2 linked regions of the Arabidopsis thaliana genome follow. The protein of the gene in region 2 interacts with the protein of the main gene of each other region in a pairwise test. Each region holds a gene or a part of one and is shown on either strand. Other genes may lie near its edges.

Evidence for each region. Proteins that work in one complex are often made in the same cells at the same time.
Region 1: the proteins of ATBET12 (region 2) and SVL4 interact in a protein complementation assay, tested with the Arabidopsis thaliana proteins (one large-scale study listed by BioGRID).

Annotation. Positions count from the first base shown.
Region 1 is NC_003076.8:23,493,749-23,501,406, reverse strand, and holds SVL4 (SHV3-like 4), read left to right. Parts: upstream 1-3,805; 5' UTR 3,806-3,897; intron 3,898-4,004; 5' UTR 4,005-4,020; coding exon 4,021-4,132; intron 4,133-4,268; coding exon 4,269-4,565; intron 4,566-4,647; coding exon 4,648-4,757; intron 4,758-4,847; coding exon 4,848-5,346; intron 5,347-5,422; coding exon 5,423-5,743; intron 5,744-5,831; coding exon 5,832-5,971; intron 5,972-6,043; coding exon 6,044-6,527; intron 6,528-6,610; coding exon 6,611-6,909; 3' UTR 6,910-7,158; downstream 7,159-7,658. Other genes in the region: TIL (temperature-induced lipocalin), read left to right, coding at 251-625, 710-895; YKT61 (SNARE-like superfamily protein), read right to left, coding at 1,279-1,329, 1,784-1,870, 2,082-2,147, 2,364-2,468, 2,558-2,647, 2,716-2,789, 2,938-3,130; FIP1[V] (FIP1[V]-like protein), read right to left, coding at 7,407-7,463.
Region 2 is NC_003075.7:8,306,857-8,314,784, reverse strand, and holds ATBET12 (Target SNARE coiled-coil domain protein), read right to left. Parts: upstream 4,467-7,928; 5' UTR 4,304-4,466; coding exon 4,290-4,303; intron 3,987-4,289; coding exon 3,836-3,986; intron 3,371-3,835; coding exon 3,314-3,370; intron 3,226-3,313; coding exon 3,166-3,225; intron 3,066-3,165; coding exon 2,980-3,065; intron 2,872-2,979; coding exon 2,847-2,871; 3' UTR 2,401-2,846; downstream 1-2,400. Other genes in the region: AT4G14450 (uncharacterized protein), read right to left, coding at 4,889-5,266; HCD1 (3-hydroxyacyl-CoA dehydratase 1), read left to right, coding at 7,123-7,839. UniProt on the Arabidopsis thaliana protein: Required for vesicular transport from the ER to the Golgi complex. Functions as a SNARE associated with ER-derived vesicles.

The DNA.
Region 1 (7,658 bases), on a different chromosome or scaffold from region 2:
ATTGTATTGTATCCTTCTTCCCACAGAACAAGGAAGACATTTGTGTCCTCCACCTTTATTCACATTTGTAACTGCTAGACGCTACTAGAACCCTTGCCCTACACGCTTTCCACGTGGCATCCTCTCGTCCCAGCGAAATCTCCTTGATATTATTTTTTTATTTCCTTATAAAGAACAGAATCTCTTCTTATCCTTTTACCTCAAAGAAAACATCGAAATCTTAGAGAAGAAGAAAAGAAAAAGAAGAGAAATGACAGAGAAGAAAGAGATGGAAGTGGTGAAAGGGCTCAACGTGGAGAGATACATGGGCCGTTGGTACGAGATTGCTTCTTTCCCATCAAGGTTTCAGCCAAAGAACGGCGTCGACACTCGCGCCACCTACACCCTTAACCCCGACGGTACCATACACGTCTTGAACGAAACGTGGAGCAACGGGAAGAGGGGTTTTATCGAAGGCAGCGCCTATAAGGCCGATCCTAAAAGCGACGAAGCCAAGCTCAAAGTCAAGTTCTATGTCCCTCCTTTCCTCCCAATCATTCCCGTCACCGGAGACTACTGGGTGCTCTACATCGATCCTGACTACCAGCACGCTCTCATTGGCCAGCCTTCCAGGAGTTATCTCTGGGTTGGTACTCTTTTTTTTTTCTCTTTAACGAATAATCGAAATTGATCCCAAAAATGATTGACTCTGTATATGTGGGTGGTGTAGATATTGAGCAGGACGGCGCAAATGGAGGAAGAGACGTATAAGCAGCTGGTGGAGAAGGCAGTGGAGGAAGGTTATGACATCAGCAAGCTTCACAAGACTCCTCAGAGTGACACACCACCTGAGTCCAACACTGCCCCTGAAGACTCCAAGGGCGTTTGGTGGTTCAAATCTCTCTTCGGCAAATAGATTACACGGCACACAAAGACTTTGTTTCACCTCTTTGATCCTTTTGTCTGTGTAATATACTACCCCCTTTGTCTACTCTAGTTATCTTCCATCATCTGCTTTTGTCTATTTACGACATCTTCATCTAGTTATGCAAAGTCGTCTCTTTTACCATAAGGAAGCGCACACAAATTCAATCAGATCAAATCTGGGAAAGACAATTCAAATCTTGCAGAAGTTGACATTATGTATTTGGATAAACACACCACACGACTCGAGACTTATGGAATCAAAATAATGCATGCAAACTACAGACGGAATTATATGTATAGATAAGACGATAGAAAAAACAGTCTCCCCCCAGCAAAAGTTTGGTTGACTATATACCCAGCAGGACTTCCAGCTCACAGAATAGTACAGCATGAATTTGTTTTCTTCGCTTGCTTGTAAAACATCTGTTCCAACCAATACAACCAAATCAGATTTTCATGTTGGAAGTAAACATGGTTTACCTAATCTAAATAACGAAGAATATCTTGAGATTCCAGAGGATATGACTAATACATATGTTCCTCCCCATGGTCAGATGATATAGCAAAAAACACTATGATTCTTCGTAGCAAACCTAATAATTCCAAAATCCAACTGTATAGTTCAAACTGCACTCAAATGTCTGCAGGCTGAAGCAGAAAGCTTTTTCAAAGAAGGTATTCTAAATCCACATTCTTCCTCTATTTATCTACCCCAACAATAACATGCAATAGTTCCTCTATCAATCAACAACACTTATAAGCCTGCTAAATCAACAACCCTTTCTAACGTGTTCACCAACTATGCTCAGAGATCGAGACAGGGAAAAAAGGAAACTAAATCTATAAGAATTTCTAGAATGTGACTTTAGAATGTTACCTGTGATGCCATGCTCAAATCTGAGCTCTTCTCCACTAGGCTGTCCAGCTTCTCACCACGGGCTAGAACACTATCAATGGTTTTATGCTACAATACAGAACAAAAAATCAGTCTTACGGAGACAGGGACATCCATCATAACTACCAAGACTTTCTTCTTGTTTTGGTGTTTTTCAGAAGAAAGTAAACTCACCGACAGAACAGCATTTATGTATAATTGGCAAGTATACTGAAACTTAGAAAAGGAAGTACCGCTTATGTATAAGGGTCTACAAGAAAGGACCGGAGACAGCACTTACAAGGATAATCTTTGTCTCATCCAACTCCCTCTGGATTTTCAACAGCTTATCAGCCTCTGCTGGGTCCTGAAGATTACAAATACGGGACAATCCCAAAATCAATTTAAGATCAAATCACTCAAAATCCAACATGGTCATAAAACAATGGGGGCTACTAAAATTAATTCATGAAGAATGAATCATTCGATTGGATTCTAATGTCCACCTAACTGAGCTTAATATAACTACAGTTTTAACAAAATTCACAGTAAAAGAGCGAATACAGTTGCACAAGTGAAGAACCTGAAATTTGTTTAAAGCTTCGGTTAAGTATGGCCAAGGCTGATTGGAGTCTTCTTTTGCAGACCTCCATGACTCACCAAAACTCTTCTGGTACTCATCTAGGACCTGAGACAAAATTAAATGTCAAGCAACCCAAATTACAGGAAAACTTACGAATGATGCATTGAGAACCACTTTCAACATAATGATATTACCTGATTGAGAAGAGAGAAAGCACTTCGAACAGGGTAATGATCGTCCATGAAACCCACCGCGCAAAGGCCATTTCTATTGTAAGCGTGAACCTTGTACTCTAAACCAAAAACAAAATAAAAACACGAACCCTAATTATCCCAAATTCGAGGACTAGAACAATAAGATAGAATCGCAAGAAATTAAAGCCGGGGCATAGTCCAGGAAGATCTAGAATCAGAAACGGTGCACATCCTAAATCATAAAAGTTTCAAAATCGAAAAGCCGATCCGAATTTAGAAATCGAATAAAAATCAAAGAGGAAAGGAGATTGCATTAGATCCGGGAGAAAGAAGATTTGAAAACAATCGATCTAGAGAGGTAGAAGAAGAAGGAGAAGAACCTTCGTGTTGAACAGACTGGCGTTGGGAAGGAGGGGTTCGGCTAGCGACAGTGCGACCGACAAAGACGACGAACTCCTTGACGCTAGATCGCTGGAAATAACCGAAGTGAGAGACGTCCGAAGCGTTGGAGAGGATGACGGGATCAGAAGCTTCGGGAGCGCACTTGAGAACGAGCAAGGCGGTGATCTTCATAGCTGCGGTGGATCCAAGGTTGCGTGAGAAGGAAGCGAGGAGGAGGAAGAGAAGAGGCTTTGGACCTGGATTCCTTACTCGGAGATGCTAAAGGCAAAACAAGTTTTGAGGTGTCGAACCAAACGCAGACGCCTTCTCATTAACATTGAATAATGAATATATACCCTCTTTTTCTTATTCGCTATGTTGAAGTAAAAATTAAAAACCTTTGGTTCAATTCAATTTTATGTGGGCAGTCTCGGTTCGGTTTAGCATATATTGATGCAGAATTGGACCGGAATCAAAGATTTTTCCATCACATAGAATTGGATTTTTAAGAATTTTAAGTCTAGGCAAAAACTGAAACCAAAGAATATTTTAATTTTTGCCAATCGAGTTTTCTTATTAACGGAATATTGGTTTGGTTTAGATCGGACAACTTGGTTTGGTCCGAATGCCAAACTCTAATATTGTCATTTTAACTACATACATGTATGACAAATGAATATAGTACAAAGTCCAAAACTGAGGGGTGTTACACCCATTTGTGCAAAGAAGATGTAAGAAAGCATCAAAAAAAGAAAAAGCGGTTAAGAAGGGAATGGTGGAGAAGAAGAGATAAAAATAGAAAGGAGTAAATGGCCATAAATGGAGGATATGAGAGCAAGTTACTTTTTTTTACCATTAATTAACCTTGTTTGACCCATCTCCTCTTTCTCTTCTTTTTCCTTTCCTCTAACTAAACGAGGAAAACAAGCAGGAGAGGGGATTCATGTTCTTTTCTCGCTGTAAGATCTCTCTTTCACAATTTTCTTAAATGTGACAATTCTGTTTTTGTTACATGTATCCTGACTTTGCTTTTCCATTGGGGTACGTACGTTACACACAAATGCAGGATCAATCAGATAGAGATGCTGAGGTTTTTCATTCTTTTCTCCCTTTTCTTACACTCTTCTGTTGCGGCACCCAAGACTCCTGCTGCTGCCGCAGCTGTTCCTGCCAAGAAATGGCTTACCCTTAACGGTAAGCATCCTTTTACAGAGTATGCCCATATTGCATACTACCATGTTTTTTTTTTTGTTGTTGTTTAATGTTAAGACTTAAGATACCATGTTGTTTGTTTGTTTCTAAGAATCCGTACCTGTCTTTTGTCTTCCAGGACAAGAGCCTGCCGTTGTGGCCAGAGGGGGCTTCTCGGGTCTTTTCCCTGAGTCAAGCATCTCTGCAAACGACTTGGCTATTGGCACCAGCTCGCCTGGCTTCACAATGTTGTGCAACCTTCAGATGACTAAGGACGGTGTGGGCCTTTGCTTGTCAGATATCAGACTTGACAATGCAACCACCATCTCCTCGGTCTTCCCCAAAGCCCAGAAGACCTACAAGGTCAACGGTCAGGACCTCAAGGGCTGGTTTGTCATTGATTACGATGCCGACACCATATTCAACAAAGTCACTCGTATGTCTTCTTCTCTTTCATTTCCTCCCTTCAATGCTCACCACCACCACCACACATTTTCATGTTTTGTATTATTGAGCAGTGGTCCAGAACATCTTCTCTCGGCCTAGCATCTTCGACGGCCAAATGTCGGTTTCTGCAGTGGAGGATGTCCTTGGAACCAAGCCTCCCAAGTTCTGGTTGAGCGTTCAGGTATGTTTTCTTCTCTTTGAGAACATGATTAACCAACATATGGAGCTTTTTTGTTGATTCATCAAAACAACAAACAATGCAAATGTGCAGTACGATGCCTTCTACATGGAACACAAGCTGAGCCCAGCCGAGTACCTGAGAAGCTTGCGATTCCGCGGCATTAATGTCATCTCATCTCCAGAGATTGGTTTCTTGAAGAGCATCGGGATGGACGCGGGCAGGGCCAAGACAAAGCTCATATTTGAGTTCAAAGACCCCGAGGCAGTTGAGCCCACCACCAACAAGAAGTACAGCGAGATTCAGCAGAACCTCGCAGCCATCAAGGCCTTTGCTTCAGGCGTTCTTGTGCCCAAAGACTACATTTGGCCCATTGACTCAGCTAAGTACCTTAAGCCCGCCACCACTTTTGTGGCTGATGCTCACAAAGCCGGTCTAGAGGTCTATGCTTCAGGGTTTGCCAACGACTTGCGCACCAGCTTTAACTACAGCTATGATCCCTCTGCTGAGTATCTCCAGTTTGTGGACAATGGCCAGTTCTCTGTTGATGGTGTCATCACCGATTTCCCGCCAACAGCATCACAATCAATCAGTGAGATGACTTGCTATATATGTTTCCTCAGATAGCTGATTATTAAGAAGAAGCTAAAGCGTCTGTTTTCTTGCAGCTTGCTTTTCTCACCAAAACGGCAATCTCCCCAAAGCAGGGCATGCATTGGTTATAACTCACAATGGAGCAAGCGGAGACTATCCAGGCTGCACTGATCTGGCTTACCAGAAAGCAATCGACGATGGAGCAGACATAATTGACTGCTCTGTTCAGATGTCCAAAGACGGAATCGCTTTCTGCCATGATGCTGCAGACCTCTCAGCAAGTACCACCGCCAGGACTACTTTCATGTCCCGAGCCACCAGCGTTCCTGAGATCCAGCCTACCAACGGAATCTTCTCTTTTGATCTTACATGGGCCGAGATCCAGTCTGTGAAGCGTAAGAAACTGATTTCTTTTCTATAGATTTCTTAAACTAATCTTATTCTCAACTAAGTCACTGAGCATTGGGATATCTTTGTCTTCAGCACAAATAGAAAACCCCTTCACTGCCACGGGCTTCCAGAGAAACCCCGCAAACAAGAACGCCGGGAAGTTCACGACTCTTGCGGACTTCCTTGAGCTCGGCAAAGCAAAGGCAGTCACCGGAGTTTTAATCAACATTCAGGCAAGCCATTTAACTTCCAAATGCTCCTTGACTAACACAAGGAAGCTCCACTAACACTGTTTTTGTTGACAGAATGCTGCTTATTTAGCCTCGAAGAAAGGCTTAGGAGTCGTAGACGTAGTCAAGTCTGCTCTTACAAATTCCACACTCGACAAGCAATCAACCCAGAAGGTTTTGATTCAGTCGGATGACAGTTCAGTTCTATCTAGTTTCGAGGCTGTCCCTCCTTACACAAGAGTCTTGAGTATCGACAAGGAGATCGGAGATGCTCCTAAGACATCCATCGAAGAAATCAAGAAGCATGCAGATGCTGTCAATCTCTTGAGAACTTCCCTCATCACCGTCTCCCAAAGCTTTGCCACGGGGAAAACTAATGTGGTAGAGGAAATGCACAAAGCGAATATCTCTGTATACGTCTCGGTGCTAAGAAATGAGTACATCGCCATAGCGTTCGACTACTTCTCTGATCCTACGATAGAGCTTGCAACATTCATTGCAGGGAGAGGCGTTGATGGAGTCATCACGGAGTTCCCTGCCACCGCTACCAGATACCTAAGTAAGTTTAAACTTCTACAAAAAAACAAAAAACAAAAACATTACCAAGATAAGGCTGATCAATTATATTTGATGCAAATGCAGGGAGTCCATGTTCAGATTTGAACAAAGACCAGCCCTATGCCATCTTACCTGCAGATGCTGGAGCTCTACTCACCGTGGCAGACAAGGAAGCACAACTACCAGCTATTCCCCCAAACCCACCTCTTGATGCCAAAGACGTGATTGATCCGCCTCTGCCTCCAGTTGCAAAGTTGGCCTCCAATGGAACTGAAGGTGGTCCGCCACAAACTCCTCCTCGTTCAGGCACCGTTGCCATTGCTGCTAATCTCAGCCTTTCCTTGCTGGCAATGATGGCTTTGGGACTCCTTTATACAGCCTAAAGAGATTGATCACACCATATAACCTCATATAGGTTGTAACATGTTTGCCCTCAGCGTTTTCAAACTGACACAACTTGAGTTATCTATGTTTTACTCATGTTAACCAAAATATGCATCAAACAGTGATTTGTTGTTATAGATCAAAAGCTCTACAGAAACTTTCTTTGTTGTCATAGGAATGTTTTTTTCGGTAAAGATTTTGAGTCTTGATAATCTTTCATATTTTATTTACGATCCTTCGTTACCACAGTCTCTACTTTCATAGTTGTTGCTTTCTGATAACTCACATTGTTAACACTAATGATCAAGACCAAAGGCCGAGTACAAATTTAAAATAGTAACAAAATTACTACAGTATATAATACAGTGCTGTCAAGTATTTTTAAAATATTCTCGCTCTCTCCGGAGGCGCTAAGTATAAGAACAAAACTAAAAGACCAATAATCTTTGACAAAAGTTACATCAACTACTACAAGAGTATTCTCTCAGAGTTATCCTTATGCGTATTCCCTCCCTATTCTTACACAACTTCGCTCATCCCACACATACTCTCCCTAAACACCTAAATAATCTCCATTGAGCTTGATCTTTCATCGCATTACTGCTACAACTGCTCCGTGGGATGGGAGAATCTCATGTCATCCGTTTAAGCATCGTAAGCTACATTGAGAATCAAACTTTCCTCAACCCAGCCAAAGAGGGCCACAGTTCATCGCTTTTTATTTCAACTCCAGTTTATGACTCTCAGC
Region 2 (7,928 bases):
TTGAACGCTTCTTTAATAGTAGGTATAGGTTTAAGCATCAAAATATGACGTCTTGTTTGATCAAATCCTTCATTCAATTCCTTAAGAAACTTAGTCACTCTACTTCTCTGTTGTAAATGTTCCCATTTAACTGCAGCATCACACTCACAACGACCACATGTACAAACTGGGAGCTCAACATAATTTCTGTGTTCTTCCCACAGAGTTAACAAAGCTGTATAGTATGTTGAAATATCCATAGATCCCTGCTCTATTTTACTTAACTTCTGTTCTATATCAAAGATCCTTGGTGCATCATCTTGCTTGAATCTTGATAACAGATTGTTCCAAATTCCTTGAACAGTAGCTATGTAAAGTAAACTCTGACCTATCTTCTTATCAACAGAGTTCATCAACCAAGTACTAACAATATCATTACACCTAGACCAAGCACCAAAATCTCTATGATCCTCAGGTGGTTTAGTAATCGTACCGTTTATAAATCCCAATTTGTTTCTGACATTCAAAGCCATCAAGATCGATCGACGCCATGAATGAAAATCTGAAGCTGTCGTAAGTCGATCTGACACAAGAATCAATCCAGCGTGATCTGCACTATGAAGATAGTACGGATTCTCATATTGATCTACTGGATATCGAATTTGATCACCATTGTTGATCGGAGGACGAGTCACCGGATTCGCAGGTGGAGGTACATAAGATCCCATTCTCAGAGTAAGAATGAAAAATTACAAAGAAAGCGAGACGAATTTGATGTATAGAAAACGAGATTCGCTCACGCTAAAGGTCAATTGAAGGAAGTAAAAGAAACAGAATGAAAAATACTCCGGTGAATCGGAAAAATAACGAATGGCATAAGCGAACGAAAGAATCAAAAGAAGAAATCGAAAATGAAACTCTCTCCCGATGAACACAACAAACGCGGAATCAATATATTGTGCTCTGATACCATGATAAAATCCGATACATCGGAGATTCAAGATCGGAGAAGAGAGACGAAGAAGAAGATAACAACTTTTCTTATTCAGCTTAAAGTGTTGTTACAACCAACTTAACTAACAAAGTAATCGAGATTAAACTTATATACATAAGATTATTGTGGTTAGTAAACCACATTCAACCAAACCAGTGATAACCGAAGTTAACCAGTCCTATATCCTTAATACTCCTCGCACATGCCTATATACGGCATGTATGTAGGTTCAATATGCAAGTTGATGTTCTTGAGTTCCTTGTCGATCGTGTTTTTAGCAATCATACCTCGCATTCTAGAAGCAATGTGCTTTTGACGGATATGACCCGTGTCATAACTCTGTTATGGCCCAATAGCTTCTGAGAGGTGTCACTTCTGCTAAGAGAGCATGCTTAGCATAGCCATGGTGGGCGTGCTCCAATGTATGTGCATGTACATTTAATTTTTTAGTCAGCTCCTTGTAAATATTCAATTAACTACGACGATAATTTGTGAGCTAGAGCAACCAAAGCTCGAATGAAGAGTTAATTGAAGAAAGCAAGTCATTTCCCGCAGCATCATGAATCTTTTTCTCTTAGTAATTAGGGTGGTAGGACATGTCGTATACTAGTCTTTCTAAAGGCTGAGTATTTCGTCGGCTTTCTTAGAAACGATTTCGATTGTACATTGTATATATGTCACGATTAGGTTGATGGATTCACTACCAACAGTATATTAGATAACCATGTAGCTTACTATTTTTTGAATGATCTATATATCTAACTTCTTCAAATAATTACACATATTTTTCATGTGAATCCAAAACACTTTTGTTTATAATCTAGCACCCTGTTTAATATATGTAGCATAACATCTGTTGTTGTGTTATAATATATTTATTTTACAAAAATCACATTCATATTTACTAACATGGTATTTTAGCATATACTAAAAGATCAGAAGAAATTGAAAAACTACTCCCGATTTAATAAGGTAACATTTTTTTTTTTTTACTTTTTTTCTATATATTGTGCCAGAACTCAAATGTTATCCTCTAGTAGCTATATTAAAACTCATGGTTATTTGACTATTTATCTAAACAGTAGTTTCAAGAAATTTACTATTTAGCATAGCAACCTGTTATTCACTCGTAAATTCAACATTTAAGACTATAGTTTACATAATTGTTAAGATGATTTGACCTAGAAACCGAACCATTTGGAAATGTACATGTCAACTTGTTGTCTATTACCAAACCAAAAATGAACTTGTCGATTATTGTCAACTTGTTACCTAAAGTGGAAAAAAAATCAAACTCTTCTGCATAGTAGTGTCCTGTCAACTTGTGGAATTGTTGCGAGTCGTTCAAAAATGATATTTCTCATGTTGTTACGTATTTGGATCTTTAGCAAAATGTCAATATACAGGACGGTATTTGCGCCTTAAAATTCTGAAAATTGGAAATTTTTGGAAACAAGACGCCAAGTTATCTTGTTTTTATTACAAAGTGCTAAACTTTTTTTCACAGAAAGCTAATAATTAAGCTTATCAATCAATCAATTAAGCTTTTTGTAGACAAAACTGCTAACATGAACCCAAGATCAAATAGTTGACAAATGATAAAGAAGCTTTTGCTACATTACATGAAATGACATGAGATGATTTTGCTTGTGACAAACAAGTCTCTATCAAACATTTTTTCTTTCGGTTGGTTCACTAGTCTCTTCACAATCTCTTTCTTTGTCTTGTTTCAATAGGGTTTCAATAGGGTTTCAATAGGGTCCCTTGACTTGTTTACTATGTCTGAATCATTCATTCATCAGGAGAAATCCAAAAATGGAAGTCCCAAACGAAACTATTCATTTAACACTCTACTTTCTTCTTGTATCCAAATTTACCCTTTGATGTAGTTTAATAGCCTGCAAAATCCGAAAGATTGTCAGTGTTCGAGTCAAAGAACAAGGACTTGAACCAGTCCCTAAGAAAAGTCAAGTGTTTTGATAACTATAAGAAGAAGTGTATTTTACCTAATAAGGTAATACATGATCAAGAACAGGAGCACAAAATAAGCTATGAGTTTGCAACTTTTTCGATTAGACTTCTTCTCAAAGACCTGTCGTGTTAAAATCGAGTTTTATTCAGATATAAGTTTTGATAGCGAAAAACAAAAGGGGTGATGCATATATAAAAGGTACGAAATCTTATTTACATACCAACTTGAAGCGGTTGATCGTTCCCGACATTATCCCCCTCGCGGAGTCCATTTTGTTCCCCTAGAGATACAACAACAAATAGCTTAGAAGAAAAGCATGTGATAGAGATCTACAAACTGAAACAGATGAAATCAAACTTTCAGCTTACCACTTTGTCAAGCAAGCGGTTATGATTCTCAACTTCTTCATGTATGTCTCCAGTCACCTGATAAGATATTATTACCAACTTACATCTCAGGCAAGCGTTATTGCAAACTAGATTTGACAAGAGTGAAAACAAAAAAGGCATTGTTTTCATAACTAGACTTTTCTAAGGCATTACATCATAGCTCGATCCTTGTCGTTGAGTCCGAAAGACTTATACAGGGTCTAGTGATAGCAATGCTGGAGAGAATGTTCTTAATCTACAATTTCAATACATATCTAGGAACTAAAAACTAAGTTCAATTTCTTTATATCTAGACTTTTCGAAAGCATTAGATCATCGTTCGATGCTCGAAAGATACATTTAGGGTCTCGACTTAGCAGTGCTTAAGGGACTGTTCTTTCTCAAACAATAAGGATCAGTAGCACCATCCATTTCACAATAAAGAATCACAATTCTTAATCCTAATGTTTATGCTTGTGTTGATATTTTGATTCTTTAGTTATATAGATGAAAGAAACATACTCTCTTGAGAAACGAAACTCTGTCCTGAAGATTTTCCAAAGCTTCATCATTATCACGTTCGTCATGAGCATACGAAGAAGAAGCTCTCAAGCGACCTTCTTCAAGTCCATCAAGGCCATCAAAGAGAGACGTTCTCGAAGCACGATTCTCCCTACAGAAATCAAAACCATTGGTTCTTAATCAGATCCAATTTTCTCCAATTCTAGTTGGATACACTCAATTCAAAATCTGGAAAACTGTAATTAGAACTCTAGAATTAGGTCAATGACTCAGAATCAGGAATTCGAATGTCGGTGATTCAAAAAACTAAGATTTCAGAAAGAGTGAATCTGGAGATTGTGAAGAGATCTAGATCAAATTCGATCGAGAGCAGAATCAATATCATTTGTTAAACATTGATGAATCTACATAAAAACAGGATTCGAATGCAGAGGAAGAGATCAATAGATCAAACCTTCGAAAGTTCATTTGATTCGTCTTCGATTCTACTCTCTTACGAAGGATTCAACATAACAGACGAATTTAGAGCATTGTAAAGGAAATTCTCGATTTGGATTCAATTCCAGAAGCGTAAGTTTTCGTGTTTTGTTTGCGAGAAACGTACGAAAGTTCTTACTGTACTACAAGTCCCTAGAAGAAGAAGAAGAAAATAGAATTAAATTGAATTGGGCTTACTGGGCTTTAGTTCGGCCCATATTGAATCCATGAAGTTAGTTTTTTTATTTGTTAAAAGTGAACACTTTGAAGAAATGAACTTTAAAGAAAAGTCCAACCCTAGATGTATGATGGGTTAATTTGACAATTTATTTAAAGAATTCATGCAACTATTTTCTCCATGTTTTTCCCATAATTTTGTTTCATGTGTTTTATGCATTTTTTTTTACCCATTTAGAACTTGAATTAATACTTTGTTAGTGAATAATATTATCTCTTAGAGGATAAAACTGATACAAAAACGTGAAAAATAGTTAACCGCGTGTAATATCACAGGAACAAAATTCACACGGGGCTGGTAGCTGAGTCATCAAATCTACAAAATTTTGATGAACCGTTCTAAACCTGGATGAACGGTGGGACAAACGTTGTTGGCTCGTAGCAGAACGGCGACGCGGGATGTTGCCATTTCTTGAAAACTGGTGTCTTCTTCACCTCTTCTTCCACTGGTATCTCAGTCTTGTTCTGCGGCGGAGGAACATGTGATTGGTCGAAGGATGATGTTAGAGAAGGAGCGAGCGGTGAAAGGAGAGGGATCGCCACGTTCCAGTTACTAAAAGACGTTGGTTTGATCATTAAAGACGGAGCTCGTCTCTGTAGCTGGCTAAGTTGCCTCTCGTTACTGGCCGCGGAGCTGCTTGTTCTTTGCATCGTGGACGCCATGGAGATAGATTTGTGAATTGTAGGATAATTGAGTACTTTTGTATCAAAGAACATAATAATGATGTTGGTGTGTGATGTCTGATGTTTATGTAGATGACATATATAATAAGGTGAGGAGGGCCACGACTTGTAACATGTTGACTAGGTACATTACATACACGCTTGGATATGGTCATTGGTCAGAGTTGGAGAAAGAAAATTAGCTGCTTTATCTTCCCTTTTCCCGTTTCTTTACATTTTTGTTTTGGCAATACTCTTTGACCAATTCTTTTTGAATTTTCCATGCTTGTTTTTATGTTAAAGTTCTTTTTAATATTAAATTACAAAGACATCGATCTTGTTAATGGAAGTCAAACATGTTCATGAAATGTTAAATGGTGGATGAGGTTTACCTATACAGATTCTCGTGAACATGTTCTATTGGACTTTTATAATATATATGGACCAGAGGTGAATATGAATATGAATATGTAAGTTGAGTCTAGTGCGGACAGAGCTTTACAATCTAAGCCACAAAACAAAAGAAAGCAAAAATCGGACCATGTCACGATGTGCTTAAATATGTGAGGTTTTTGCATTTTTCAGGCCAAGTCAAGTCAACTAGCCGCCTGATTAACTTCTACACGAACAAAAAAATGTAATCCAATGGTTTGTGTTAGTGTTGTCAGTGTGTCATCACCCTTATGGCCTTATTCAAACCCGCATATTGCATGTTGCTAACCAAAATATAAATAGTAAGAAAGTTAACATGATCTTGTAATATATGAGTATACTGATTTGTATTATAAGTCCCATCGTGGTGTCATTAATCGAACACAGAGCCGTCTCTAGTATTTAATAGATTGCAAGCAAAGAACAAAATTTAGACCTATTTTAATGAGTGAAAATGAAAAAATAACAAGGTAAATGAAGGTAGATGGACTCAAACTTTTGACGACCATAGGTATCTAAGAATCAAATAATCAACGTTTTTACTGAAAGTTATAAAAAAATTAGGTCAATATTTTATTTGTAGTAATTGAGGCCGCAAGCATAAATTTGGTCCTATTGCGTTCATGGACGGCTCTGATCGGACATAAATACGGTATAAAATTTTTTAAAAATAAAAGTCAATAAACAAGATAAATCTTAGTATTTATTCGGTATAAAATAAAAATCTTTGCATATTAAATAAATATTTGAATATGTATTTGAATTATAGGATCTTGTAAAATAATGATTGTTATATGTCTAGTTAACAGTTTTATCGGTTAGACCGGCTGGTCAAGTATGGATCTAAAGACACTGTTCTTTTCTATGTAGCTTGTGTATTTAATAAATTAAAGAGTTGGCGGACTAATATTAACCTAACTAATGTTGTTTGCACAACTTAAAGAGTTAGTGAACTAATTTAACTACTCATGTCGGTCTCTTATGGAATGTGTCCATGAGTAATGCTAAAGCAGAGATCTCAATCAATCATGCTTCAAAAATAAAGTTCATAGATTCAAAAGCCATGACAAGATATCTAAAAAATCATACGAACAGTTGTAAGTGTGTAAGCACTAAAAAAAGGTTGTTAATATTAATCAAGTGGAGACAAGGAAACCAAAATTGATTTAGCCAATAGCTGCGAAAGAACAAAATGGTAATTACGTCCAAGGACAAACAGTTACAATTATCATTTTCAGCAAGAAAGTCACACATTCATTCATACACATTTGTCTCGTCTGCATTTAATAACATTGACACCAAAATGGTTGGGAAGATTACCCAATTTAAAGACTTCGGTGGCAAAGCACGTCTAATAAATATACAGTTGGGTTCCCTTCTATTAATTACTCAACACTCACTTCTATATCACAGTTTTCTACTAACTCTTTCCTTATTCTTGTACCATCCTAAATCAGTAAGTCCTTAACGTACGCACCATGTGTACGTTAGAGAAGCGCGGCGATCTCTTTCTCCTAACCCTAACCGGCGAAGACGAGCACAGATTCCACCCCGACACGATCGCCTCTGTTCTCTCGCTTCTTGAACAAGCAAAGTCTCAATCCACAAAAGGATCCGTCCTCATCACTACCGGTCACGGAAAGTTCTTCTCCAATGGCTTTGACCTCGCGTGGGCTCAATCCGCTGGACACGGTGCTATAAAACGGATGCACCAAATGGTCAAATCCTTTAAACCGGTGTTAGCCGCCCTCCTCGATCTTCCAATGCCGACGATCGCCGCCTTGAACGGCCACGCGGCAGCCTCGGGGCTGATGTTTGCGCTGAGCCACGACTACGTTTTCATGAGGAAAGACCGTGGGGTTCTATATATGAGCGAGGTGGACATCGGGCTACCGGTGCCGGACTACTTCTCGGCGTTGGTCGTGGCTAAGGTTGGGTCAGGTATCGCGAGAAGGGAGCTGTTACTGAGCGGGAAGAAGCTCAAAGGAGAAGAAGCGGTGGCTCTCGGGATCGTGGACTCAGCGGCGCATGATAGTGCGGAAGGTGTGGTGGAGGCTACAGTGAGCCTTGGAGAAAGTTTGGCCGCTAAGAAATGGAATGGTGAGGTGTATGCAACCATTAGGAAGAGTTTGTATCCGGAGCTTTGTCGGATGGTTGATTTAACGGCAAATAACTTGGCCACTCACAACCTCTAGAAACTCTCATTGTCTTGTTGGGAGAAAAATGGTTGAAATATGAATATTGCCGACAAAAGTCAACGTCCATTTCACTAAGCACGTATTTG